Oryctolagus cuniculus: one gene and its partners. The protein of the gene in region 3 binds, or shares a complex with, the protein of the main gene of each other region. Links are inferred from orthologs where the notes say so. Each region holds a gene or a part of one and is shown on either strand. Other genes may lie near its edges.

Region 1 (2,261 bases), on a different chromosome or scaffold from region 3:
GCCCGGGCGGTCCCGGAATCCGCCTCGGCCCCGGGGCTCAGGCCTGAGCGCTGGGCGGCAGAAGCGAGGGCCGGAGCCGGCGCCCAGCGGCCCGGTGGCCGAGCGGACGGTGCTCAGCGGGCTCCCCACGTCCGGGCGTCCCCACAGTGGCAAACGTGAGGACACATTCAAGTCGCTGCATGTGACGTCCTTGCAGAGCAGTGGTCACAGGAGCCGGGACCCCGACTGCGCTCCTGGGGTGGGGGCCCGGGTGGCGATGCGCCAGCTCAGGGGACTTCAGCAGCTCCAGGGACACCCGCCGGCGCACGGAGCGGTGTCTGTCGAGGTGTCGGGGCGTCCCCCTGCACGGCGAGAACAGCGCCAGGGCCCGAGTTCTCTGTCCTGGGACCCAGGCATGCTGGTGGCTCCCACAGGTCACCGCCACCACCGCGGCTGTGCTGCAGACCCTGGGCCAGTCCACGGGTACTTGCCATCTTCAAGACACCAAAGTCACTTCCCGGCCAGGGCCCACCTGGGGCGGCGTCTGACCCCCAGGGTCCCACCAACACCAACGCGCTCGGCACCGCGAATAAATAAAGTGGCCTGGGCTGCGCCGTCTTCGGCGAGGGTCGCAGGCCCGGCGGCCTGGCCCGGGGACTCCTACTGGCACTTGAGCCCCTTCTTCAGCTCGTTGAGCAGGGCCTCGCGCGTCTGCTCCGTGTACTGGTCGTAGCTCTTGCTGTGCTTGGACTCGTAATGGCGCTTCAGGTTGTACTCTTTCAACACAGACACGATTTTTTTGCATATTAAACACGTAGGCATGCTCTTCACCTCCACAAAGAAATAGTCTCGCTCCCATTTCTCTCGAAACACGCGGCCCTCGCCTTCTCTCTTTCGCTTTGCCGCTTTTGGTAGAGACATGGGTACAAGAAAGGTTTCACTCTCTGCACGCCACCACAGGGACAGCCGCAGTGCACGCCAGGGCCACGGCGGTGCCGCTGCCTCCCGTGGGGGGCCGAGGGAGCGGTGGGGACTGTGGCGAACCGGGGAGCACATGCCCCCGACAGGGCAGTTCTGCCCGCTGCCGCCAGGCAGAAGCGTGGGCCCGGGGGCCAGAGCTGCTGACCTCACGAGCAGCCGAGACTACAGATCGTGTGTGTGTGTGTGTGTGTGTGTGTGTGTGTGTGAGTGCCCCACTTCTACAACTACCTCAAGAAGTGCCCAGGCATGCTAACACACGGAAGGCCAAACAAAACCCATCTGAGGGGCCCCCGGGCCACCAGATTGCAACCTCTCCCTGGGGCGGGCCCTAGACGCTGCACGCCGAGCGCGGAGCGGGGTCCAGGCGCACCCTGCCGGACACCCGCGCGGCCCCCAGGGCAGGGCAGGACAGGCCGGCCTGCGCCCAGACCCTCACCCTGCCAGGTCCCCCGCCTCGGGCGGCCTCACTGAACAACCTGTCCAAGCCCGGGAAGGCCGCTCCGACAGGCCCAGGCTGCCCTCTCTTCACACGCGCCTGTCCCTACAGCACGGCCTAGGCTCCCACAGGGCGCCTTCTGCCTGCACGCCCCTGCACCAGCTCCTCCACCAGAACCAGCGGCCGTGCCTGGCCCAACCCCGCGAGCCCTGGCCTCCTGCCTGGCCTCCCCGCCCTCCACGGCCCAGGAGTCTTCCTGACACACAGGAGTCGGCCCAGGCCCCCTGGTGCCGCCCCGCCAGCTCCTCCCCTCACGCTCACTCCAGAAGCACCCACCAACTTGCTGCTCAGACAGCCCACGCTCCCGCCCCGGAGCGTCTGCGCGGCTGTCCCTGCACCCCGCCTGACCCCACTGGCTGCTGCGTCCAGCGGCTCGGGCTCCTGCAGTCCTGCAGCGCCCCGCGCCGCGTGCACCGCGCAGTCCGGCCGCTGCCTGCCTGCCTCTGGCTCCCGCGGCAGCAAGGACGGGACAGAGGTCTCCCGGGCCTCCTGCCCGGGGCTGGGGACGTCAGTGACGGGAGCCGGGCGGGTGTTAAAAGGAACTTTATTGGGGGCGGGTTCAGATGAGATCCATGAGGATGTCGTCCTCCATGACGCTGGGCTGCAGGCCCGGCGGGGGGACCGGGCCCCGGGGACCCCCGCTCAGCAGCATCTGACCTGGGGGGCAGTGGGAAGGGACTGCATCTCCCAGTAGGCCCTGGGGCCCTGCAGGGCCCTGCGCCTGCTTCGCCCCTCCTCCTGAGAGCCAAGGCCCTCAGTGTCTGAAGTCGCCTCGCCCCGCCTGGCTGCAGACGCCGTTTCCCAC
Region 2 (3,023 bases), on a different chromosome or scaffold from region 3:
ATCCCATGTACAGATTCATTGATTCTAGTGTCTTCCATATTATCCTAATACATGAAGTGAACATGCCTTAGGCTTAATTCTCTGAGCCTGTATTAAGTTAAATATGTAACAGAACTGGTGCCTTGAAATTGATTTTTTTCTTTTAAATATTTCTATTTGAAAGGCAGAGTGATAGAGAGTGAGGGAGAGACAGAGAGCATGAGAGATACCTTCCATCTACTGGTTCATTCCCCACAGGGACATAAAGGCCGGGACTGAGCCAGGAACTCCATCCAGGTCTCACACATGGGTGGTAGGGGTCCAAGTACTTGGGCCATCTTCTGCTGCTATCCCAGGGACATTAGCAGCGAGCAGGATCAGAAGCAGAGGAGCCAGGACTTGAACCAGCACTGGGACATGGGTTGCCAGCATTACGATTAGTGGCTCAACCCAGTGCATCACTACACTGACTCATTAAAATAACACTTTGATCATTGGAATTCTAATATTAAAAAGTTAGGTGAAGTTTCCTGGTTTCATTAACTTGAATCTAATTTTCTGTTTGTGTAAACCCGAGATTTTCTCATACTAATTGAGTAGTCTTTCTGCAGAGTATGCCCAGCTTTTTGCAGCACTTATTGCACGAACAGCAAAAGATATTGATGTTTTGATAGATTCTTTACCCAGTGAAGAATCCACAGCTGCGTTACAGGTAACAACCTTTTTTCTTAGAGAATTTTACTGGTAGCAGAGAATTTTGAATTGAAGGAGATAGATTTATTGACTTTCATTGTAATATTCAGAACTATTTTATGATTATTTTTAAGGATTTACTCTTGGATTTACTTGAAAGACAAAGTCAGAGAGGGAGCCGGAGACAGAGATACCTTCCATTCACTGGTTCACTCCCCAAATGGCCACCACAGTCTGGCCTGGGTCAGGCTGAAGCCAAGAGCCTGGAATTCCATCTGGGTCTCCCATGTGGGTGACAGGAGCCCAAGCAGTCATGTGGGATGCTGGCATTGCAGGAGGTGGCTTAACCAACTGCATCTCACAACACTGTCCCCATACTTTCCATACTCTAGTTCACTTCCGAAATGATCACAGCTGGACCAGGCTGGAGCCAGGAGCTTCTTCCGGGTCTCCCATGTAGGTGCAAGGGTCCAAGGACTTGGGCCATCCTTTGCTGCCTTCCTAGGCACATTAGCAGGGAGCTGGATCTGAAGTAGAGCAGCCAGAACTTGAACAGGCGCCCTTATGGGATGCTGGTGTGGCAGATGATGGTTTACCGTGCTGCGCCATGATGTCAGCCTCTAAGATGGGCGTTTCACTAATTCAGTGCTAGTATTGTCTGTTGAAGATTGTGCTGAATAGCTGTACAGTAGTTGTCCAATTTTGAGTTAGAAGGAAACCTTGTATGTTCTGGTTTATCTTTTTCTAGCAAAGAAGGAAAGGATGGTGGCTTTCTGAACGAGGAATAAAATAATGGATAGCAAAGGCAGTTTGGAACAGAGTCATACTAGATAGTAAGATCTCTTGAAAATCCATTACTTTATAATCATATGGAGGAACTTAAGTTACCTCACTTTGAGAATTTCTCCTATTAAAACTGTATCACTGGTTGCAAAATCACCGAGATTTAAAAATAAATACCTCTACTGCAGTCTCTTCTCCACTCTAAAAGATTGTCAAATTTATGTCTTAAAAGGCTGCTAGCTTATATAAGCTAGAAGAGGAGAACCACGAAGCTGCCACCTGTCTGGAGGATGTTGTGTACCGAGGGGACATGCTTCTGGAAAAGATCCAAAGTGCACTCGCTGACATTGCACAGTCCCAGCTGAAGACGAGGAGCGGCACCCACAGCCAGACCCTGCCGGACTCATAGCACCGGCACGTGCCGGCGGCTAAGAACTGTCTCAAGGCCATTAAGAATTCTACCTTGGATTAAATGTCAGCCTTACCAGCAGTTACAGAAACGTTAAACGTTATGACATGTTTTACCTTTGTAGCTGTTTTTAAAATCTTCTATTTTTACTCTTGATAAACAAGCATATAAAGTTGTGATTGAACCAGCTTTAAACTATCAGTTTTTTTTTAATCTGAGATTACTAAGGCAGATACTGCATTTGTGATCAAAATACAAATAAACATGCACTGTTCTTTGGTGACAAAGTTTGTATGTTGTTTAAAACTCAAATTTCTGTAATAGTCCTGGGGCCAGCACTGTGGGTGGCAGGAAAAGCCACCGCTTGCAGTGCTGGCATCCCATATGGGCACTGTTAAGAATCTGGGATGCTCCTCTTCCGATCCAGCTCTCTGCAATGGCCTAGGAAAGCAGTGGAAGATGGCCCAAGTCCTTGGGCCCCTGCATCTGCATAGGAGACCCAGAAGGAGCTCCTGGCACCAAGCTTTGGATCCACCCAGCTCTGGCCATTGCAACCATTTGGGGAGTGAACCAGTGGATGGAATACCTCTCTCTGTCTCTCCTTTCTCTCTGCCTCTCTGTAACTCTTTCAAATAAATAATCTTAAAAAAAAAAAAAAATCGGTAGTCCTTTCATAAATGAAAACAACCCTGAAGCCAGAAGAGACATTCTCAGTGCAGAGATGGATCTTTCAGTGGGCTGGTATCTTTGCCACTATGGAGGTGGCATTGTATAAATTTGGAGCTTTGAGAAAGGAAGTTTCTGAAAATTTGTCAGTTCTCAGAAACCCAAAGTGTTAGTGTGGCCGGGTGAGAGTAGGTCACACTGAGGCAAACCTTTGCTCTTGCAGAACCTCATGTCCCTTTGAATTCACCTCCACGTTTGCTTTGACTGAGAAAGCCTTGACTCAATGAAATTCCCAGGCTGCTGTGAGTTTTCTTCATCCTGATTGGCTTGTTCTCTTTATCTACAGGCCTGTATTCTGCTCTCATTACCCCCCCCCCCCCCCCCGCTGTATTTTAAGAGGGCCATCCTCCCATAGCAGTTATTTCAGAGTTGTTTTCTCCATCGCTCCTCAGTGTGTCAGCATGTCAGCTACAGTGACTGATGCAGCTCTGGG
Region 3 (3,500 bases):
CTGCCCAAAAGCCTTCCTAGCCCCATCAGTCTCTACCCACCATCAGCAATCAGATCAAAGGTTTTCCATTATCCTCAATCTAGTTCATTCTTGGTGCTTAATCAAGGCTCACTCTGGATCCAAACTAATGTCCCCCCTGTCTTTTACCCACCCCAATTTTCCCACATTGAATGTCAAATTCTTTCTTTAAGGCCACTATGATCTCATCATCTTCTGAGTACTTATAATACTAACAGTGCATAATATCTATTAACTAGACATATTTTATGGAGAGTTAGAACTGGCTTTGGAAATTGACCCCTATTTAACCTTTCAGGCTTAACTTAAACACCGATACTGCCTGTTTGCACTTGAAGGTTTGTCATCTTTCGACTCTGTCCTGTCCCTGGACTCACAGCAGTAAGTACACTACAGTTTTAATCATAGCCATTTCTCCTTATATCTGTGAGCACCTCGAGCAGAAGAGAGAGGTAATTTAATCATATTTGTGCCCTTACTGATTAGCCTCAGTACCTGCCACAAGGGAACTGATCATCAAATGATCAACAATTCATGTAAAATAAATGGATGGAGAGGCATATAAATGAATCAATGAAGGAAAAATAAATAAAGTGGCTTCCTTGAAAAGACAGTCCCTCTTATTCATCTATAGGTGCTCTCAAAATAACAGACACTTACATTTCAGAGGTACACAGCTGATCAAGAGGACAAGGACAGACATTTCCTGACTCTTAGCACTCAGGTGATCTCCAAATAATTTTAATTCTTATCTGACACTATAATCACCTATTAGTTAACTTCTGTGTGTACAAGTTCTACTTCCCTAACACAATACTATGATCCTCAAAAGTAGGTGTCACACTTGTCTATTTCTCAAACTGTAGACTAGGAGTAGGCTCTGTGGTGCAGCAGGTTAAGCTGCCACCTGAGACGCCCACATCCCCTATCAGTTTAGTTCCGGTACTTCCACTTCCGATCCAGCTTCCTGATAATGTATGCTGGCAGGCAGCAGCTGATAGTTCAAGTGCGTGGGTCCCTGCCACTTCCATTGCAGATCCAGGCTCTTGGCTTCAGCCTGGCCTAGCCCTGGGAAATAAACCAACAGACGGAAGAGCTCTCTCACTTAATCTCTCTCCTTCTTCCCTTACCCCCTCAGTTGTTCTGCATTTCAAGTAGATGAAAATAAATAAGCATTTAAAAGAAAAAAAGGAAAACAGTCCTAAATTTAAAAAAAAAAAAAAAAAACACTAACTTCTGATTTAATAGATGAATAAAAAGTTGTGTGGGAATTTTTTTTAAAATTCCTATATAAAGAAACTATATACTTCCATTAGCCCCATCATATTTAGAAAAACTTATTAAAATAAATGGGAAAGATTTTAATATTTAGAACTGGAATGACACTAATGAAAACACCTGTCAACCAACAAATCCCAAGAGGTGTCAGATATAACACTAACTTTCAGGATACTTTAAAAGCATATGGTAACTTTCAGGATACTTTTCAAAGTGTCTGAAGCACATTCAGAACTTGAAATAAAAACCCCCAAGTTTAGGGGACTAAACTAGAACAAAACACTGAAACACTGACACAGAGCAAAATGCTTGTATGTGTGGACACGGCCGACTCACCCCAAGCTCCTCATCATCAGAATTATCAAAGATGTTGTCTAAATCATGAAGGGAAGGTGCCAAATCTGTCACTTGTGTAAGGCTACTGGAGCCAGCTCTGCCAGCAGCATTATCCTGCCGGACATCTGCGGGAAAGGAGGCACAGAGACAGAGTGAACAACTTCGTCCAGCGAGAACGAGGGAGGACAGGACACAGATCTCAACCAACAAGACCTGCCTGAGAATTTTTTTCCTATGGTTTTAGTTAAATTTTGAGACAATTATTTCCAAATATGTTTATCAGTTTTGAAAGGAACTGAAAAACAAACTATGAAAAATATATTAAAGATGTGATCAAATTATTGCTATTACAGTAAGAATAATTTTTAAATCCAGAAGCATCTCCCTTGCATTTTATTTTAGCAACAATCCAAGTGAGGCAAATAACCATTGTACACACCTGTTTTAGTAGCAGAACTGAAAATAGACATGGCATTTTTCCCATCAGGCACCGGCGTGGAATGACCTGGTGTAGTGACATCCTTGGTACCAAATCCATCCTCTGACTGCATAATAAATTCAGCCAAACAAAGCACATGAACACCAACCCAAAGTGTGGAATATGAGGGAGAACACAAAGAATTAGAGGGCAGAATGGAACTTGTTATGAGCACAAGTATGATAAACCATGGTCTATGCAACCAAAGGGAATAAAAGATATGTTCTTTCTCCAGATTTTAACAGAACCAAGAACTCCCCCACTTTCCCCTCAATCCTACGGGGTATCCTATGGGGTATGAGTGAATCAGTGTTTTACACCTAAACAGTACTGGTGGCATTTGATTAAGACCTGCCGTGATGTTAAAAGCTGTCTTTAATAACATTTTAGAGGCTGAATTACAGATCTTTTTCAGATCTGGACAGATGTATGTAAAGGAATCTAGAAGACATTCCCCTGAACTATACTCATCTCTTTTAATTTTTATATTTCCTCTATTTTCAGGAATATCTCTTTCAGTGGCTCAGTATTTTAGAACTTTAAAATTTAAAGTCAAAGACAGCAGACACACCCAGTACTCACTTTTATGAAAGCAGGATGAGTAAAAATACACTGAAAATCTAAGGGCAGTGTTGATATTCATTCAGAGGATATACAGAAATAGCGCTCAATACAGTAAGAATAGGCGCTCAATAAATAGTACACACTATGGTCAACATTTTTCCTTTACTTTTTGGGACTTTGTAATAATATTTAAAAAGAATTAAGCAGGGAGCATAGGCCAACAAGAATTAGCATATGAGAGGAAACATGCACTGTACAAGCTATAGCCTGGAAAATATGAGGCTTCATTTATGTTCGGCTGACTTTTAAACAAAGGTGAGCCATGACATAAAAAGGAACAATACGCTGTTCGCTACAATAGTACCAAGAGCATGAGTATGGGGACAGAGCAATCAGGCAAGGCTATCTCAAACACTCTGCCTCGAAGTCTTCCCAAACATGGTGTAGTAACAAAGATAGAACCCACACCACGCTGGACTCTGTCTCTCTGTTAAATGGTACCTTATTCTTCTTCAGAGAATCTTTCTCCGACCCTTGTTTGCATTTCTTATTTGCTGTGAAGATGTATTTTATGTCACCGTCCTCAAAGGTATATGGGTCATTGACTTCTCCCAAACTGTCTCCAGGTTGCTGTGAGAGAGGCAATGGGTCAAGGAAGTGGAGCGGCTGCGTCTGGGGCTGCTTGTCTTGCCAGATTTTAAACCGTTTGTTAGGTTGTGCTAGAAGTCTAAAAGGGAAAATAAGTGACAATTTGAATAAGGCAAAATGATATTTCAAAAGAACAGCAACATTTATGATTTAAAGCACTTATAAAACTGAAACTAAA
Region 4 (2,515 bases), on a different chromosome or scaffold from region 3:
ACCACCCAGCCCACTGTCTTGGGCGCCCTCCCTATCCTCAGCTCCTGTCACCCATTCTCCTCCCCGCAGTGCCTTAGACAGCAAGGCCAGACCCCAACTGCCTGGCTGAGGGCTCTCCCACAGGGGCTCCGAGCGTGTGGAGAGGCAAGGAAGGGTTCAAGAGCGTTGCTGTCCCTCGCCCTGTCCTGTGGAAGCGACAGCTCAAACTGCAGGCCGGACAGACCGGGTGGGGAGCCACAGAACAGGACATGCTGCCCCAGCATGCCAGAACCCCTCCCGCTTCAGGGTACGGCTCACCAGGTGGGCCGCAGGCCAGTGCTGTCACCCCACTTGGGTCTGAGCCCAGGAAGCTGCTCTCACTGCCCCCCTCCCCTACCCAGTGAACACACACGGGAACCTAAGCCCTACTTCCTGAGCCTCTTCCTCCTCCCCCCTCCCCCAGCTCCAGTGCAAGGGACACGGGGCGCAGACGCAGACACCCATGGTGCGGACACTCACAATGTGATCCGTGAGGATCTTTATTTACAAATGAGCTGAGGTGGGCTTCCCCTCACATTACAAAAATACACGGCCCGTACACACATGCACATGCACTCTCTCTCTCCCTCTCTCTCTCACACATACACACACACCCTTTGCGTCCATGAAGTCCTGGGGGCCAATCTGCAAGGGGGAAGGCTGCACAGGGGCCCTGCCCTGGGCTAAGGATCCAGGCTGCTCCTTCTCTTTAGATACAGGCAGAGGGGAGAAGAAATTACAAAAAAGTAGGAACTGTTTAGAAGTCAGGAAGGGGGGAAAAGTTCTGGAGACCAACCAAGGGCTCTCACACCAGAGCAACGCCGTTTCATCTCTCCTCACTCTTCCCTCCTGAGGTGCCTGAGGCTGGGACCCTCCCAGCCATTCCTGCAGCCACTCCAAGCCCTCAGAGGGCAGCAATGGCTTTGGCGGCCACCTGGCGGCCCAGAGGCAGGCTGAGGTCCGTGATGGCCAGAACCACCTTGGGGCTGGACATGGCTGACACCTTCACCAGCTCCGAGACCTGCCACAGACAGAACAACAGAGGCTCACCAGGTTCCTCAGGTGGTGCAGGGTCCCAGGAGGAAGGAGGCCCCACCCCGGTGCGGGTGCAGCGACGCCTGGGCCGCCTGGCGGTGGCCCGGGGTGAAGGGCACTCACGGTGGTGAAAGGCATGAACTGCAGGATGCTGCCTCGGCTGCCCTGCTCCAGGCAGTCCACGCACTCCTCCATGAACCACTGCACGAACTGCGTGTGGGGGCCGGCGGTGCGCGACCCCAGGATGGAGGAGATGAGCAGGAACAGGTTGGCTGTGCAGGACGGGAGAGCAAGAGGAGGCAGAGATCAGAGTCCAGGGGAAGGCAGGGGAGTAGAAGGGGGCGCCGAGACCCGCAGGCAGGAATGTCCAGGGGAAATAGAGGAAAACGGGGAGACACGGGAGCACTGGCGAGGGGGAAGCAGGTGCAGTGGGGGAGGCGAGGCCTCTTCCAGCGGACGTGGCCCCTGCCTCCCTTAGGGAGAGGTTCAGGAGCAGCAGCGGGGGACTCACCCAGGACTCGGTTCAGAGGGTCCCTCATGTTGACCGTGTGGAGCTGGGAGGCCGAGAGGGAGCTGCTCATGGAGCGGTCAGCTGTGGGGAGGAGCGCAGGGACGCTGAGGAGACGGCCACTGCACTCACTGGTGGCTCTGCCAGTGGCAGCCCCCCCCAACTCGGGGATCAGCTGATCCCTGCAGAGCCCAGAGAAGACCCTCAGACCAGAGTCCAGAGGAGCTCTGAATGCGGACATCCCCATGAGGAGGACCGCCAGGGCCGGGGCCCAGCCTCCGGGCTGCACCAGGACTCAGCTCTCAATTCTCACACCCCATCTGCAGGTGAGGACATGGGGGCTCAGCCTCGCTAAGCAACAAGCCGCGGTCACGGGGCTTGTAGGTGGCAGGCCCAGTATCTCTCCTCCTCTCACACGTGCACTTGGACCCCGAAGTCCCCAAAAAGCCTCAGAGAAATTTCTATTCTCAGGAAAGAGAAATGGCACCGAAGAGGCCTTAGGGGAAGGGGGCGTGGAAGCCAGGCTGGGCCGGTGCTCCGCGGGCAGGAAGAGTGGGGAGCAGCCCCAGTCCCAGCTGGGCCTGCTCCAGACCACAGGGTGTGTTTTGGGGGAAGGAAGGAAGCACAGAGCTGATGAGTCAATGGCACAGACTGTACTGAGGCAGCTGTGGCCATACCTGCGTGGTTTGTCACCCCCCAACCCTGTGGTGAAAGGGAGGGACCAGGGAAGAACCAGCCAGCGGAGCCTGTGGCTGCGTCTGTGCATGCGCGGCTCTCGGGGCCGGGGGGGGGGGGGGGCTGGCAAAGGCAGCCCCTCTACTCACTGGGGCTCGAAAGGATATTGGCGTCATCCTCATTGGAGCTCAGCAGTCGCATCAGCTTCGACGGCTGCGTGTCGTCCAAGGGGAAGAGGCTGCTGTAGTCCTGAGGGGCAGTCACTGTTTCACAACCTGA
Region 5 (3,874 bases), on a different chromosome or scaffold from region 3:
AGATTTATTTTATGTGAAGGCAGAGTTATAGAGACAGAGAGATCTTCCATCCACTGATTCACTCTGTAAATGGCCACAACGGCTGGAGCTGGGCCAATCAAAAACCAGGAGCTTCTTCTGGGTCTCTCACATGGGTGTGGGGACCCAAGCACTTGGGCCATCTTCCATTGCTTTCCCAGGTGCATTAGTAGGGAGCTGGATTGGAAGTGGAATAACTGGTACTCAAACCAGTACCCAAATGGGATGCTGGTGCTGCAGGCAACAGCTTTATCTGCTTTGACATAGCACCAGCCCCAAAAAAGCATATAATGAAAAAATATGCATAGATTTCAAAAATTTTTTGTACCAAAATGGACTTAAAAATGCTTATTTATTTGAAAGAATGACAGAGAGAGATCATTCATCTACTGGAATACTCTCCAAATGACCACAATAGCCAGGTTTGGGAGCTGCATTCTGGACTCCCACGTGGGTAGCAGGGCCCAAGTATCTGGGTCATCTTCTGCCTTCCCAAGCACATTGGCAGGAAACTGAAACAGCAGTGGAGTAGCTGGGACTCAAAACTAGCAGTCCAGCATGGAAGTCAGTGTTGTAGGAGGTGGATTACCCATTGCACCACAACACTGGCCTCTAGGCTTGTTTTCTGATTCCATTTTCTACAGTCTTTGTGAAATACTCTCAGATACTAAAGAACATAGTACATTTTGTTTGAGCTTTTTTTTCTGTATGAGCTGTTAGTCATCTAAGCATCCCTCTGTGAGCCACCAAGGAGAGGGGAACCACTCCCCACATACACACTGGTATGCAGGACTGCTAAAGTAGTACCCGCTTGCCAGCTGGCCTTGTTCCATGCGTTGATCCCAGCCTGGGTCTGCCAGCGAAAGCCTGGGTGATGAGTAGGTCTCCGTCCGTTGCAGGTCAGGCCGGGAAGCTGATGTATGTCATGCACAACTCGGAGTACCCGTTGAGCTGCTTCGCCCTCTTTGAGAATGGCCCTTGCCTTATTGCTGACACCAACTTTGATGTGCTCATGGTGAAGCTCAAGGGCTTTTTCCAGAGTGCCAAGGCCAGCAAGATTGAGACTCGGGGCACCCGTTACCAGTACTGTGACTTCCTGGTGAAGGTGGGCACTGTGACAATGGGTCCCAGTGCCCGGGGCATCTCTGTGGAGGTAAGATCTCGGTGAAGTGGGAGCAGGTGGTGCTGAGGGGCTGCGCAGCAGAGGGCTCTGAAGGTTTTCCAGGCAGCCCAGGTCACACAGATGTTTTTGCCTGCCTGACCCCTGATTCCAAGCTCCTGGCTTTCTCTCCATGAATTTTTTACCCTTTCTTTCATCAGTTATGGAATCAGTAGCCCAGCATGGGAAATGGGAAGCTGGGTGCACAGCAGGTAAAAGCATACGATGCCTGACTTGCCGGAGAAGGGAAGGGAGAACTGAGGGAGACATGTGGGTGATGATGTGCAGGAGCTGTGGCAGGACCTGCAGCAGACTAGGACAACTTTTGGAGCCACTTTTGGAAGGTGACTCCTTCATCACTTTGAATGTCAGCCTCCTTATTGTTGCTTTGAAATGGGTCTCAGAAGTTGTGGAGTGAAAATGCGCCTTCCTTTTGATATGCTGCTGCTCTGTTTTGTGGTGCAGAGGGGTACCTGTATGAGAAGACTTCATCCGTGAGCCTAAATATACATACTGAAATTGGCAGAGAGGAGTAAGGTGGAAGCTGGCCCTGGGACCTGGGGAAGTCCATGGCCTACCACATACCCAGCATTATTTGAGATTAAAAAACAAGGAAGTTTACAGGGCTTGCATTTTGGAAATCTATGATTTATTAAGAGAACAAGGCTAGAAAACTGTTTTTGAAGTCAGTCCAAGAAATGCCATAAGTGGAGCACAGCTTTGCTCAGGGAATTCAGGCCAGCGGTAACTGCTGACTCGGTTGTGATGCTTCTGGGAGGAGCAGCATTGAAGTAGGGGCTTAAAACATAGAGACGTGGGATGGGTCGGTCTGGGAAGCATCCCAGGTGGGGAAAAGGGCAGTAGCAGTGATTTCTGCTCAGAAACCTCTGGAGCACAGATTCCCTAACTTTTCAGCTTGGGATACACCTTGAGTTGCTGAGACCCAACGGGACCCGCTGTTTGTCCTCCACTTCCACCCTTGTGGGACAAACACACTCAACAGTTTCTCCTTGTGACCCCAGTGAAAAACTAGGAGAGAGGAACAAGAAAACCTGAGATGTGTATTCTTGGCCGCTGCCACCTTGCTTGGGAAATTCTTTTAGGCGTAGAGCCCTGGCTATATCTGCCTTGGAAATAAAGATTGGTCTTGAAGAGGCTCATGAGGATGTGTGTCTACTCTGCCCTCTACTTACCCCTTCAGCCCTACTCCTGCCTTCCTCGTACCTACACACATTTTTCTTCCCTTCTCTCTTTGTTGTATGTCTCAGAATTTTCCTGAGCTCTCCTTGAATCCTCACCAAGCATCACAGCAGAGTCTGCAGAGCCCTGAGACAAACAAAAGGGACCCAGATCTGCCCATGGGGCTAACAGGGAGGGCTGCGGGCTGACAACCTCCAGGATGGCGTTTAATGGGAACAATGCTGGGTGTGTTGAATATTTCCTGTGGACAACACTGTGCTGGCAGGTGTGTGTTTTTGACTCAGGGTTGGGGGACATAGAGGCAGAGGGCAGGAGGGCAAGAGAGCAGACCTTGTCCTTGCCCTCCCTTACCCTCATTCTCTGTTCTTTTGGTCCCCAGGTGGAGTACGGCCCCTGCGTGGTAGCTAGTGACTGCTGGAGCCTGCTGCTTGAGTTCCTACAGAGTTTTCTAGGCAGCCATACACCAGGGATTCCTGCAGTGTTTGGAAACAGACACGACGCAGTCTATGGCCCAGCAGACACCATGGTCCAGTACATGGAACTCTTCAACAAGATCCGCAAGCAGCAGCAGGTGCCAGTGGCTGGGATTCGTTAGTGGCTGGCAGCTGCTGGCCAAGCTTTGTCACCAGAGGTACTCCACAGGAGGAGGTGCTGCCCTCAGGTCTCTGGACCCCAGAAATCTAGGGCAGCCATGGAGGCCTCTCTTCCTTTCCAGTTCCCAGCTGTGGCCTTTGTGGGGACTCTGGACTCCACACCCTTGACCCTCACACAGCCCCCCAACAGCCATTTTGCCCCAGGCCTCACTGGATTTGGCCTGTCCTCAGGAATGGTATTTATGAAGACTGGAGAAGTTTGGACCTCTCCTGCTTTAGGGGAAAAGGTAGGACAGGGGTGCCCCTGCCTAGTGTTGGTGGGGAAATCAGTCTGGACCCACAACAGATGTGCTGCGTTTCGTGTTTGGGCCATGCAGGAATAAAAATCTCTTCCTTAACTCAAAGGATGTGGCTGGAGATGCAGGCGGAAGCACAGCTTGTTTGATGCCTGTCATTTTCTGACCTGTTTGCCAGAAACTGTGAATTGACTTTCCTAGGGTGTTAGCTGAGTTTTTGAGCTCTCCTGTTGATGTCTTTCCCTTCTGTCGTGATTATGTTAAGCCACAGGCTAAACTCTGTCGTAGCGGAGAACCAAAAGGACTGTGGCTCTTACTAGGTAAAAGTTTCTTTCTCCTCTGATAGTACACAGGTAATCAGATGGTCCAGAGCAGATTTAACTGTACCAGGTCATCAGGAACTTGTTTTCCTTCTGTCTTGTTGTTCAGCTATCCCTAGGGTATTATCCTTACCCACAAGATCAAAGCAGACTCCTCAGTTCTGTGTCCACATTCCCCTGGGAAAGAGGGAAGAGAGCGGCTTTTTTTTTTAGAGCATATGACCTGGAGCGATTCAAGTGCTGGTGCCACACTTTGCTGGAAGGCTTCGCTGTGACGCGGAACCTTGC
Region 6 (3,500 bases), on a different chromosome or scaffold from region 3:
GCACCCAGGCCGCCGTCCCCAGGACCCGGCCCTCACGCTGAGCCACTGGTATCCCAGAATTCCCTGCCACTCAGGGGCTGTGCTGCGCCTGCCACGGGTGGACGGCCACGTGGTGTGAGCCGGCGCCCACGGCCACGGGTGGAGTCCAGCACAGGCTGCAGGCGGCTCAGCGACTGGGGTCGGGTGCAGCCGGGGGTCTGGGGGAGGGGCCTGGGGGAGGGGCCGGGGCAGCCGGGGGTCTGGGGGAGGGGCCGGGGCTCCCGCGTCTCTCCGGGCGTGGGCGTGATGTTAATCTGAAGGCCTGATGTGGCACTGGAGCGGCAGCAGCCCCCCACGATGTGGCTGGGCCTGAGAGGCACACGCGTGTCCCCCCTCAGCCCTGTCCGGTGCACGCGTGTCCCCCCTCAGCCCTGTCCGGCACACGCGTGTCCCCCCTCAGCCCTGTCCGTGGGCTTCCGCGGTAGGCGTGTCCCGGGCTCCCGCACAGGCAAGGCGGGGTCAGCGAGGGCGGGGCTCCGGTGGTCTGGGTGCGCGGGCAGGGGCGGGGCTCCGGTGGTCCGGGTGCTCGGGCAGGGGCAGGGCTCCGGTGGTCCGCGGGCGGGGCTCCGGTGGGGCGGGGGCGGGGCTCCGGTGGTCCGGGTGTGCGGGCAGGGGCGGGGCTCCGGTGGTCCGCGGGCAGGGCTCCGGTGGGGCGGGGGCGGGGCTCCGGTGGTCCCGGTGCGGCGCGCACGGCAGCCCGGCCCCTCCGCCTCTCCCGCAGTCGGGCGCCTCCAGCTTCGGCGAGAAGTTCTCCCGCGTCAAGTTCTCGCCGTCGCTCACGCTGTTCGGCGGCAAGCCCATGGAGGGCTGGATCGCCGTGACGGTCAGCGGCCTGGTCACCGTGTCCCTGCTCAAGCCCAGCGGGCAGGTGCTCACGTCCACCGAGAGCCTGTGCCGCCTGCGCGGCCGCGTGGCCCTGGCCGACATCGCCTTCACGGGCGGCGGCAACATCGTGGTGGCGGCGGCCGACGGCAGCAGCGCGTCCCCCGTGCAGTTCTACAAGGTGTGCGTGGGCGTGGTCAGCGAGAAGTGCCGCATCGACACGGAGATCCTGCCCTCGCTCTTCATGCGCTGCACCACGGCGCTCAGCCGCAAGGACAGCTTCCCGGCCATCACCCACCTCAAGTTCCTGGCCCGCGACATGTCCGAGCAGGTGCGCCGCCCGGGCTCCGGCGCCCGCGGCGATGGGCGTCGGGAGGCCCCGCCCCCGCCCACGCGCTCGCCCAGGGCCCCGCCCCCAGCTTGCTCTGCGCCCCCCCCCCCCGCGCGCGCCCAGGGCCCCGCCCCCGCCCACGCGAGCTCGCCCAGGGCCCCGCCCCCAGCGCGCTCTGCGCCCCCCCCGCCCGCGCGCTCGCCCAGGGCCCCGCCCCCAGCGCGCTCTGCCCCCCCCCGCGCGCTCGCCCAGGGCCCCGCCCCCAGCGCGCTCTGCCCCCCCCCCGCCCGCGAGCGCTCGCCCAGGGCCCCGCCCCCCGCGCGCGCGCTCGCCCAGGGCCCCGCCCACGCGCGCTCGCCCAGGGCCCCGCCCCCAGCGCGCTCTGCCCCCCCCCCCCGCAGGTGCTCCTGTGCGCGTCCAGCCAGACCAGCAGCCTGGTGGAGTGCTGGTCCCTGCGGAAGGAGGGGCTGCCCGTGAACAACGTCTTCCAGCAGATCTCCCCCGCCGGTGAGGGCGCTGGGGCGGCCGCTCATGCCAGCCCCGCGGGCAGGCTCGGGCGCCGGGCACTGGGCACCGCACCGGGTCGGGGGTCTGGGCGGGGGCAGGCGGCGGGCGGCAGCCTGGGCAACATCGGGCGCCGGGTCTGGGGTCTGGGCGCAGGTGGGCGGGGGGGGGAGCATCGGGCACCGGGTCTAGGTGGGCGGCGGGCAGCGGCCTGGGGGGCATCGGGCACCGGGTCTGGGGGGCATCGGGCACCGGGTCTGGGGTCTGGGAGGGGGCAGGTGGTGGCCTTCCCCCAACACACAGCCTGCTCCTGCTCCCCCCCACAACCTGCTTCCCCCCACACACAGCCTGCTCCCCCCCCCACACAGCCTGCTCTCCCCACACAGAGACCCCCCAAGGACACAGGTGTTTTTCCCGCAGTGGACACCCCAGCTGGCCTGGAGGCTGCCCCAGGGCCCTGGGCTCCCCGGCAGCCGCCCCCCAGTGCTGGGCGCACAGGCAGGGCGTGACGCTCGCGGGGCCTGCGCCCGCCGTTTCTTCAGCCCTCGTCCTCGCGCAGCTGTGGGCCCCTGGGAGGCCGGGACGCTGGCTCTGTCCAGCCCTGTCCCTGTGACCGCGGCCCCGCCCAGAGCCCCGTCCCCCTCCCCTCGACCAGGCTGGGTCCCCACGCTCCCGCAGCAGGGCCCTGGGGGCTTGAGTCAGGGAGCCTGGGGCCCCGTCAGACCCGAGATGTGGCCCCTGCTGTCCACCCTCCTCGCCGCGGCGTCCACCCCGGGCACCTGCCACAGTGCAGCCTGGCTCGGGCAGGCACGGGGTCAGAGCCTTGGTCAGGGGCCGGCCTCCGGGGCTCCGCCGTGTTGGACGCGTCCTGTCGGCCCGCGGGGGCAGCTGTCCCCTGGGGTGGGCGGGGCGGGGCTCAGCGGCCACCTCCTCCTCCTCCTCCAGTTGTGGACAAGCAGCCCATGATCCTCAAGTGGCGCATCCTGTCGGCCACCAACGACCTGGACCGGGTGTCGGCCGTGGCGCTGCCCAAGCTGCCCGTCTCGCTCACCAACACCGACCTCAAGGTGGCCAGCGACACGCAGTTCTACCCCGGCCTCGGTAGGCGTGACGGGGGGGGGGGGTCAGCGTGTCCTGGGGTGGGGGGGTCAGCGTGTCCTGGGGCTGGGCAGGGGTCAGTGTGTCCTGGGGGGGTCAGCGTGTCCTGGGGCTGGGCGGGGGGGGTCCATGCCCTGGGGCTGGGCGGGGGGGGTCAGCGTGTCCTGGGGCTGGGGGGGGTCAGCGTGTCCTGGGGCGGGGCAGGGGACGGTCAGCGTGTCCTGGGGCTGGGGGGTCAGCGTGTCCTGGGGCTGGGCGGGGCGGGATCAGCGTGTCCTGGGGCTGGGGGGTCAGCGTGTCCTGGGGCTGGGCAGGGGGGGGTCCATGCCCTGGGGCTGGGCGGGGGTGGTCAGCGTGTCCTGGGGCGGGGCAGGGGGGGTCCATGCACTGGGGCTGGGCAGGGGTCAGTGTGTCCTGGGGCTGGGGGGGGTCAGCGTGTCCTGGGGCGGGGCAGGGGTCCGAGCCGGGCTCTTGGCTTGTGTTGACGTTTGGATGCCGGCCCTGAGCTCCCCAGGTCTCCACACCAAGCCTCAGTTTGCACAGCTGCCCAGCCCAGGCCCTGCCCCCGCCTCACGGCCTGCGGCGAGGGGAGGGACAGCCCCCACCCCCTTCCACCCCAGGCCCTTTGTGTCTGGCTCCTGGAAGGCCGAGGCACCCCTGCCGGGAGCCCCAGGTCCTGGCGGCTCCGTCCCTGTGGGAACAGGGG
Region 7 (4,149 bases), on a different chromosome or scaffold from region 3:
CCTCTGCAGATCTCTCTACCCGCTGGGGAGGAGGCCAGGCTCCTGGGGTTCCACCTACAAAGCCAGGTCAGGTAGAGAGGGGTGCGTGCCCCTGAACACCAGCGGAACATTCCAGAGCAGTCAGGCCCCCACCCCCAGCAATGCAGTGCCGGCCCCCCACGAAGGCGGGCAGGACATGGAAGGTCCCTGATCCAACAGCCCTGCAGAGCCCAACACGGCCACTCTGTCCCAGGGGACACCGAGCACCCAGCCGTGCGGGGCCCTGAGGAGCAAGAGGCGAGCTGGCCACGGGAAACCTGCCTCGCCTACCACACCATACCCCTCCAGTGGCCTCCCACCGTCAGTGAAGGGAGCCTGTGGCTGACAGGGGCTCTGGCGGCCAGGACGGACCACCAGGGCAAGGCCGAGAGGGGACAGACACGGGGGGCGCGGGCTGGCTCCCACACACTCTGTCTCCCACCAGCCTTCGCTGCTGCCGCGCCCCAGGTCTCGGTCGCTCCCGGAGCCGTGGAGAAATGTGCCTGATCCGAATGCCAGCACAGGCGCTGCCCCCGAGGCAGCCTAAGGCGGCTCTGCCGACACCGCCCACGGCACACAGGGCGCTGGGGGCCCGCAGCTTCTTCCTGGGGATTCATTCCCAGGCCAAACACCTCCCCACCCTCTGCCAAGTGGCTTTCGGAGAAGGGAGGAGTTGGCAGGGACTGCGGCCTCTTAGGTTTGTCAGGGCTCCCCGAGCAGATGCACATCACTGCTTTCCTCGAAGCAGAGAAGCCGGTGCCGGCCCAGTTCCACCAAGGGGCCGTCCCGATCACCACCACCACCATGTTGGCCTGGAGTGGGAGGGGGCCCTGAGGTGCCCACCCCGAGGGCTCTCGGGCAGCAGTCCCAGGGGTGCTGTGGACTGTCACACGGGATCCTGGCCTGGAGAGCACTCGGGGCCGACAGGAAAGGACACACCGGCCAGCCCGTGTCTCTGGGGTCTCACAGACACGAGTGGGGACGCCTGGTCTTGGGCTGGAGGGTCAAGGCGGGCGGAACTAGCAGGGAGAGGTGACCTGCTATCTAGGTGAGGGTGGCCAGCCGGACGTGCGGCATGCATGCCGGGCGCTCGAGGCTCTCCCGTGCCCGCGCCACCGAGACCCAAGCGCAGGCGCGGACGCCCCAGGAGACCTGAGGCTTCCTGCACAGGTGTGGCCAGCACGTCTCACAGCCGACACGCGAAGGAAGCGGGGCCGGACCCACACAGGGGAGCGCCCACAGGGAGCCCGGGGCCCAGGAGCGCTGCCCCTCTCCCGGGGATGGGACGGCAGCAGAGCGGACTGGCTCCACGTGCTGTCCACCCAACAGGACGCGGAGCAGACTCCTCTCTGCTTTGATGTCTGAAATTTGCCGAAGATAACAAATGTATATACACGACAAATCACACCTGATCTGTTAACACCGGACGGAAGGTCTCGGCTCCAGACGACTGGCAGGCACTCAGGTGAGGGAGCACAGACCCGATGGCAGCCCCTCCGCGGCGTGTGGCTCCACCATCTGCCACCAGTGCGGGGAGGGGGCCGTGCTGGCCTAACCTCTGCTCCAAAGGACACGGCCCCTCCATCTGCTGAGCCCCCCGGAGCTCCTCGCCGGGCCTCCCGCAGGCTGCGGGTCTGCCGCCCGCCAGTCCCAGCACAGAAACGGCCTGCGTGCCTGAGCCAGAAGGCAGGGCTGAGCGCTCGGCCCGCGGCCTGACTCAAGCTTCTCCCTTAGCGGGAGCCCAGGATGGCTACGGCCACAGAGAGGGCAGGTGCACGGGCAGCCGAGACCAGCCAGCAGGCAGGAGGGGTGTTCCAGGTCTGTCACACGAGGGTGAGGACATGGGCAAAAGCCCTTGCCCGTCTCCATAGGTGGAGAGGACACCGCCGCACCCGTGCGGGAGCAGCCGGGAGCCAGGCACATGGTGCAGAGTCCACAGCTGGGTCACAGGCCGTGGCCGCTCTGCCTTGTGGCCACCCTCACGCCCCCAGGAGCCCAGACCGCCGTCCGAGTCGCACTGCCGCGGGGCTGTGAGGGCACCTGCAGCCCAGGCGGCCTCGGCAAAGCCGCACCTGGGGAAGCGGGGCTGCGCCTGCAGCGCCCGAGCAACGCTGCCCGCGGGGGATTTCCAGCCCTGAGCAGAAACGAGGAACTGAGACACGCGGCCGTGCAGTCGGAGAGGTCCCTCCGCTCCCAGCCCCGTCTCCACCTCGGGGAGGGCCCTCTCCGGCCTGCAGCTGGCGGTGTGCCACGCTCCCTCAGGCCTGAGCCCTGAGCCTGCCCCGGCCCGGCGGGCTGCACAGGAGCCCACATCTCTCAGTGCTCACCCCCACGCCCCCATTTCCAGGTAAAGAAACAGATGGCCCAAGGAGAAAGACCACCCAGCTAGAAGGCTGCACAGGCCCCGCCCGCCAGCCTGAAGGGACAGTGGCATCAGACTCTGACCCTCCCCAGCAGGAAATGCACAGTTTCCAGAACGTTCCTCGAAACCACAGGGCCACCTCCAGATGGCCCTGGTGCTGCTTCTGTGCTCTCCCCAGGCCGCACGGGGTCTCCAGCCCACACTCAACGCTGAGCCAAGGGCCCATCCACAGCCCTGGAGCCTGCTCCGCGCCGTGCTGGCCCGATGACTCCCCGTCTGGCCACCCTTCCAACGCCCCAGGCAGTGGGCAGTACCCCCCTCCCGGGGCTGCGGCCCCAAAGCACCTGCGCAAACGGGTTCCCCCGAATCTAACAGTGTGGACACTGCTGCTGGTTTATTATTAGTTTTAAAGGCAGAACTGGTCTAGACAGAATTTACAAAACCACTTACTCGCAAAGCTCTGGAAGTGCTCATCAGGGAGCAAGCCGTCGCTCCCATTCCACGCCCAAGCACAGCCTGCGTGGTGCTGGGCAGGAGGCCGCCTGCACAGGGCTGGGCATGCGCCGTGTGTGCGCGGACACGGGAAGGAAGCGGGCCCCGCTGGTGCACGCGTGTGTGCTCTGGTCCAGCCGTGCTCTTCAGCCCAAGTCTTCCTGCTTCTGACAAACCCCACGAGTCCCCAGGCAGCTCCCTCTGCTGCAAGTCACTGCAAGGAGGGGCGGCCCCTGCGGCCCCCACACAGCCCAGCGCTGCCCGCTCCCGCCTCCTCCACAGCCCCCCCCCCCCCCCCCGCCGCCCCGGGAGCCTCAAACCCACAGGGGCAGAGTCCCTCATTACGGCTTCCCAGAGGAAGAACAGCCCGGCTGGGGGGGGGGGGGGGGATATCCCAGTCACAGCCACCAAGTGACCACCTGCAAAAGCACTTCCTCACTGGCGGGCCGGCCTGCTGCCCCCGGAGTATCAGCCCTCTGGGCGGCCTGTCGGCGTCCCTGGGGTGACGACCCTGTGCACTGAGCTCCTGCCACGGGCAGCAACGGGCCGAGCACAAAATCGCACTTGGAACCTTGGTCGGGGACAGAAGCACCAGCCTGGGTGCGGGCAGCGGGCGGAGGCCTGGCTGCTCCCCACGAGTCGCCCAGAAATGGGAAGCTGCTGCGGCAGCGGTGGAGGTTCCCAGGCGTGCAAACGCACGGTGGCCCTGGGAGGAGAGCTACGGCAGGCCTCAGGTGGGAGCTCCGCTCAGCAGAGGGCGGCGGCTCTGCGCTCCGCAGCCACCGCCCGCCCCGACCCTCCTCGCTTCCCGCCCACTTCACGTCTGCACAGCTCCTCCCGGCCCAAGGCCCACTGGCTCACACAGCCCCTGGACTCAGAATCCTGATCTCGGCCCTCTGGGGGCAGAGCAGGTCTCAGAATGTCACCTGCAAGCTGCTTCCTTTCCGACGTGGACACAACTGGAGCGCGAGCAAGCGAGCGAGGCAGCCACACCGAGGCCTTCACCTCTGCCCTCTGTGAGGACACTGGGCCGGCGGCAACTCCCCCTCTCCCAGAAACCGCTAATAAGAATGCCAGCTACAGGAGATTGCACAGGACCTGGGGCCCGCGAGAGGGGACCCGCACACAGCGCTGAGCCGGCTCTACCGCGGAAGAGTTGCACCGAGCGGGAACAGGGACCAACCTCCGGGAGACACCAGGCACAACTGCTGAGGCTCGCCACGGCACCCTGGGCTGCCCCTTGAGAGAACGCACGCGAGGACCACGCAGTGCAGCCC

What was found.
Region 1: MED13L (region 3) and MED25 share a complex: the UniProt entries of both Homo sapiens proteins name them as parts of the mediator complex. The link is inferred for Oryctolagus cuniculus from reciprocal best matches to the Homo sapiens genes MED13L and MED25.
Region 2: MED13L (region 3) and MED21 share a complex: the UniProt entries of both Homo sapiens proteins name them as parts of the mediator complex. The link is inferred for Oryctolagus cuniculus from reciprocal best matches to the Homo sapiens genes MED13L and MED21.
Region 4: MED13L (region 3) and MED24 share a complex: the UniProt entries of both Homo sapiens proteins name them as parts of the mediator complex. The link is inferred for Oryctolagus cuniculus from reciprocal best matches to the Homo sapiens genes MED13L and MED24.
Region 5: MED13L (region 3) and MED20 share a complex: the UniProt entries of both Homo sapiens proteins name them as parts of the mediator complex. The link is inferred for Oryctolagus cuniculus from reciprocal best matches to the Homo sapiens genes MED13L and MED20.
Region 6: MED13L (region 3) and MED16 share a complex: the UniProt entries of both Homo sapiens proteins name them as parts of the mediator complex. The link is inferred for Oryctolagus cuniculus from reciprocal best matches to the Homo sapiens genes MED13L and MED16.
Region 7: MED13L (region 3) and MED26 share a complex: the UniProt entries of both Homo sapiens proteins name them as parts of the mediator complex. The link is inferred for Oryctolagus cuniculus from reciprocal best matches to the Homo sapiens genes MED13L and MED26.

What each region holds. Positions count from the first base shown.
Region 1 is NC_091449.1:7,724,013-7,726,273, forward strand, and holds the end of MED25 (mediator of RNA polymerase II transcription subunit 25), read right to left. Parts: intron 2,114-2,261; coding exon of another isoform or gene 2,016-2,113; exon of another isoform or gene 1,984-2,015; intron 885-1,983; coding exon 640-884; 3' UTR 501-639; downstream 1-500. UniProt on the Homo sapiens protein: Component of the Mediator complex, a coactivator involved in the regulated transcription of nearly all RNA polymerase II-dependent genes.
Region 2 is NC_091440.1:124,258,902-124,261,924, forward strand, and holds the end of MED21 (mediator of RNA polymerase II transcription subunit 21), read left to right. Parts: intron 1-590; coding exon 591-691; intron 692-1,687; coding exon 1,688-1,864; 3' UTR 1,865-2,523; downstream 2,524-3,023. UniProt on the Homo sapiens protein: Component of the Mediator complex, a coactivator involved in the regulated transcription of nearly all RNA polymerase II-dependent genes.
Region 3 is NC_091452.1:12,506,744-12,510,243, forward strand, and holds part of MED13L (mediator of RNA polymerase II transcription subunit 13-like), read right to left. Parts: intron 3,402-3,500; coding exon 3,176-3,401; intron 2,178-3,175; coding exon 2,072-2,177; intron 1,758-2,071; coding exon 1,633-1,757; intron 1-1,632. UniProt on the Homo sapiens protein: Component of the Mediator complex, a coactivator involved in the regulated transcription of nearly all RNA polymerase II-dependent genes.
Region 4 is NC_091448.1:22,404,805-22,407,319, reverse strand, and holds the end of MED24 (mediator of RNA polymerase II transcription subunit 24), read right to left. Parts: intron 2,486-2,515; coding exon 2,386-2,485; intron 1,646-2,385; coding exon 1,565-1,645; intron 1,326-1,564; coding exon 1,177-1,325; intron 1,040-1,176; coding exon 923-1,039; 3' UTR 501-922; downstream 1-500. UniProt on the Homo sapiens protein: Component of the Mediator complex, a coactivator involved in the regulated transcription of nearly all RNA polymerase II-dependent genes.
Region 5 is NC_091436.1:127,992,858-127,996,731, forward strand, and holds the end of MED20 (mediator of RNA polymerase II transcription subunit 20), read left to right. Parts: intron 1-917; coding exon 918-1,171; intron 1,172-2,445; exon of another isoform or gene 2,446-2,642; intron 2,643-2,756; coding exon 2,757-2,972; 3' UTR 2,973-3,374; downstream 3,375-3,874. UniProt on the Homo sapiens protein: Component of the Mediator complex, a coactivator involved in the regulated transcription of nearly all RNA polymerase II-dependent genes.
Region 6 is NC_091447.1:58,472,558-58,476,057, reverse strand, and holds part of MED16 (mediator of RNA polymerase II transcription subunit 16), read left to right. Parts: intron 1-760; coding exon 761-1,192; intron 1,193-1,593; coding exon 1,594-1,699; intron 1,700-2,641; coding exon 2,642-2,797; intron 2,798-3,500. UniProt on the Homo sapiens protein: Component of the Mediator complex, a coactivator involved in the regulated transcription of nearly all RNA polymerase II-dependent genes.
Region 7 is NC_091447.1:64,938,934-64,943,082, forward strand, and holds the start of MED26 (mediator of RNA polymerase II transcription subunit 26), read right to left. Parts: upstream 2,801-4,149; 5' UTR 111-2,800; coding exon 1-110. UniProt on the Homo sapiens protein: Component of the Mediator complex, a coactivator involved in the regulated transcription of nearly all RNA polymerase II-dependent genes.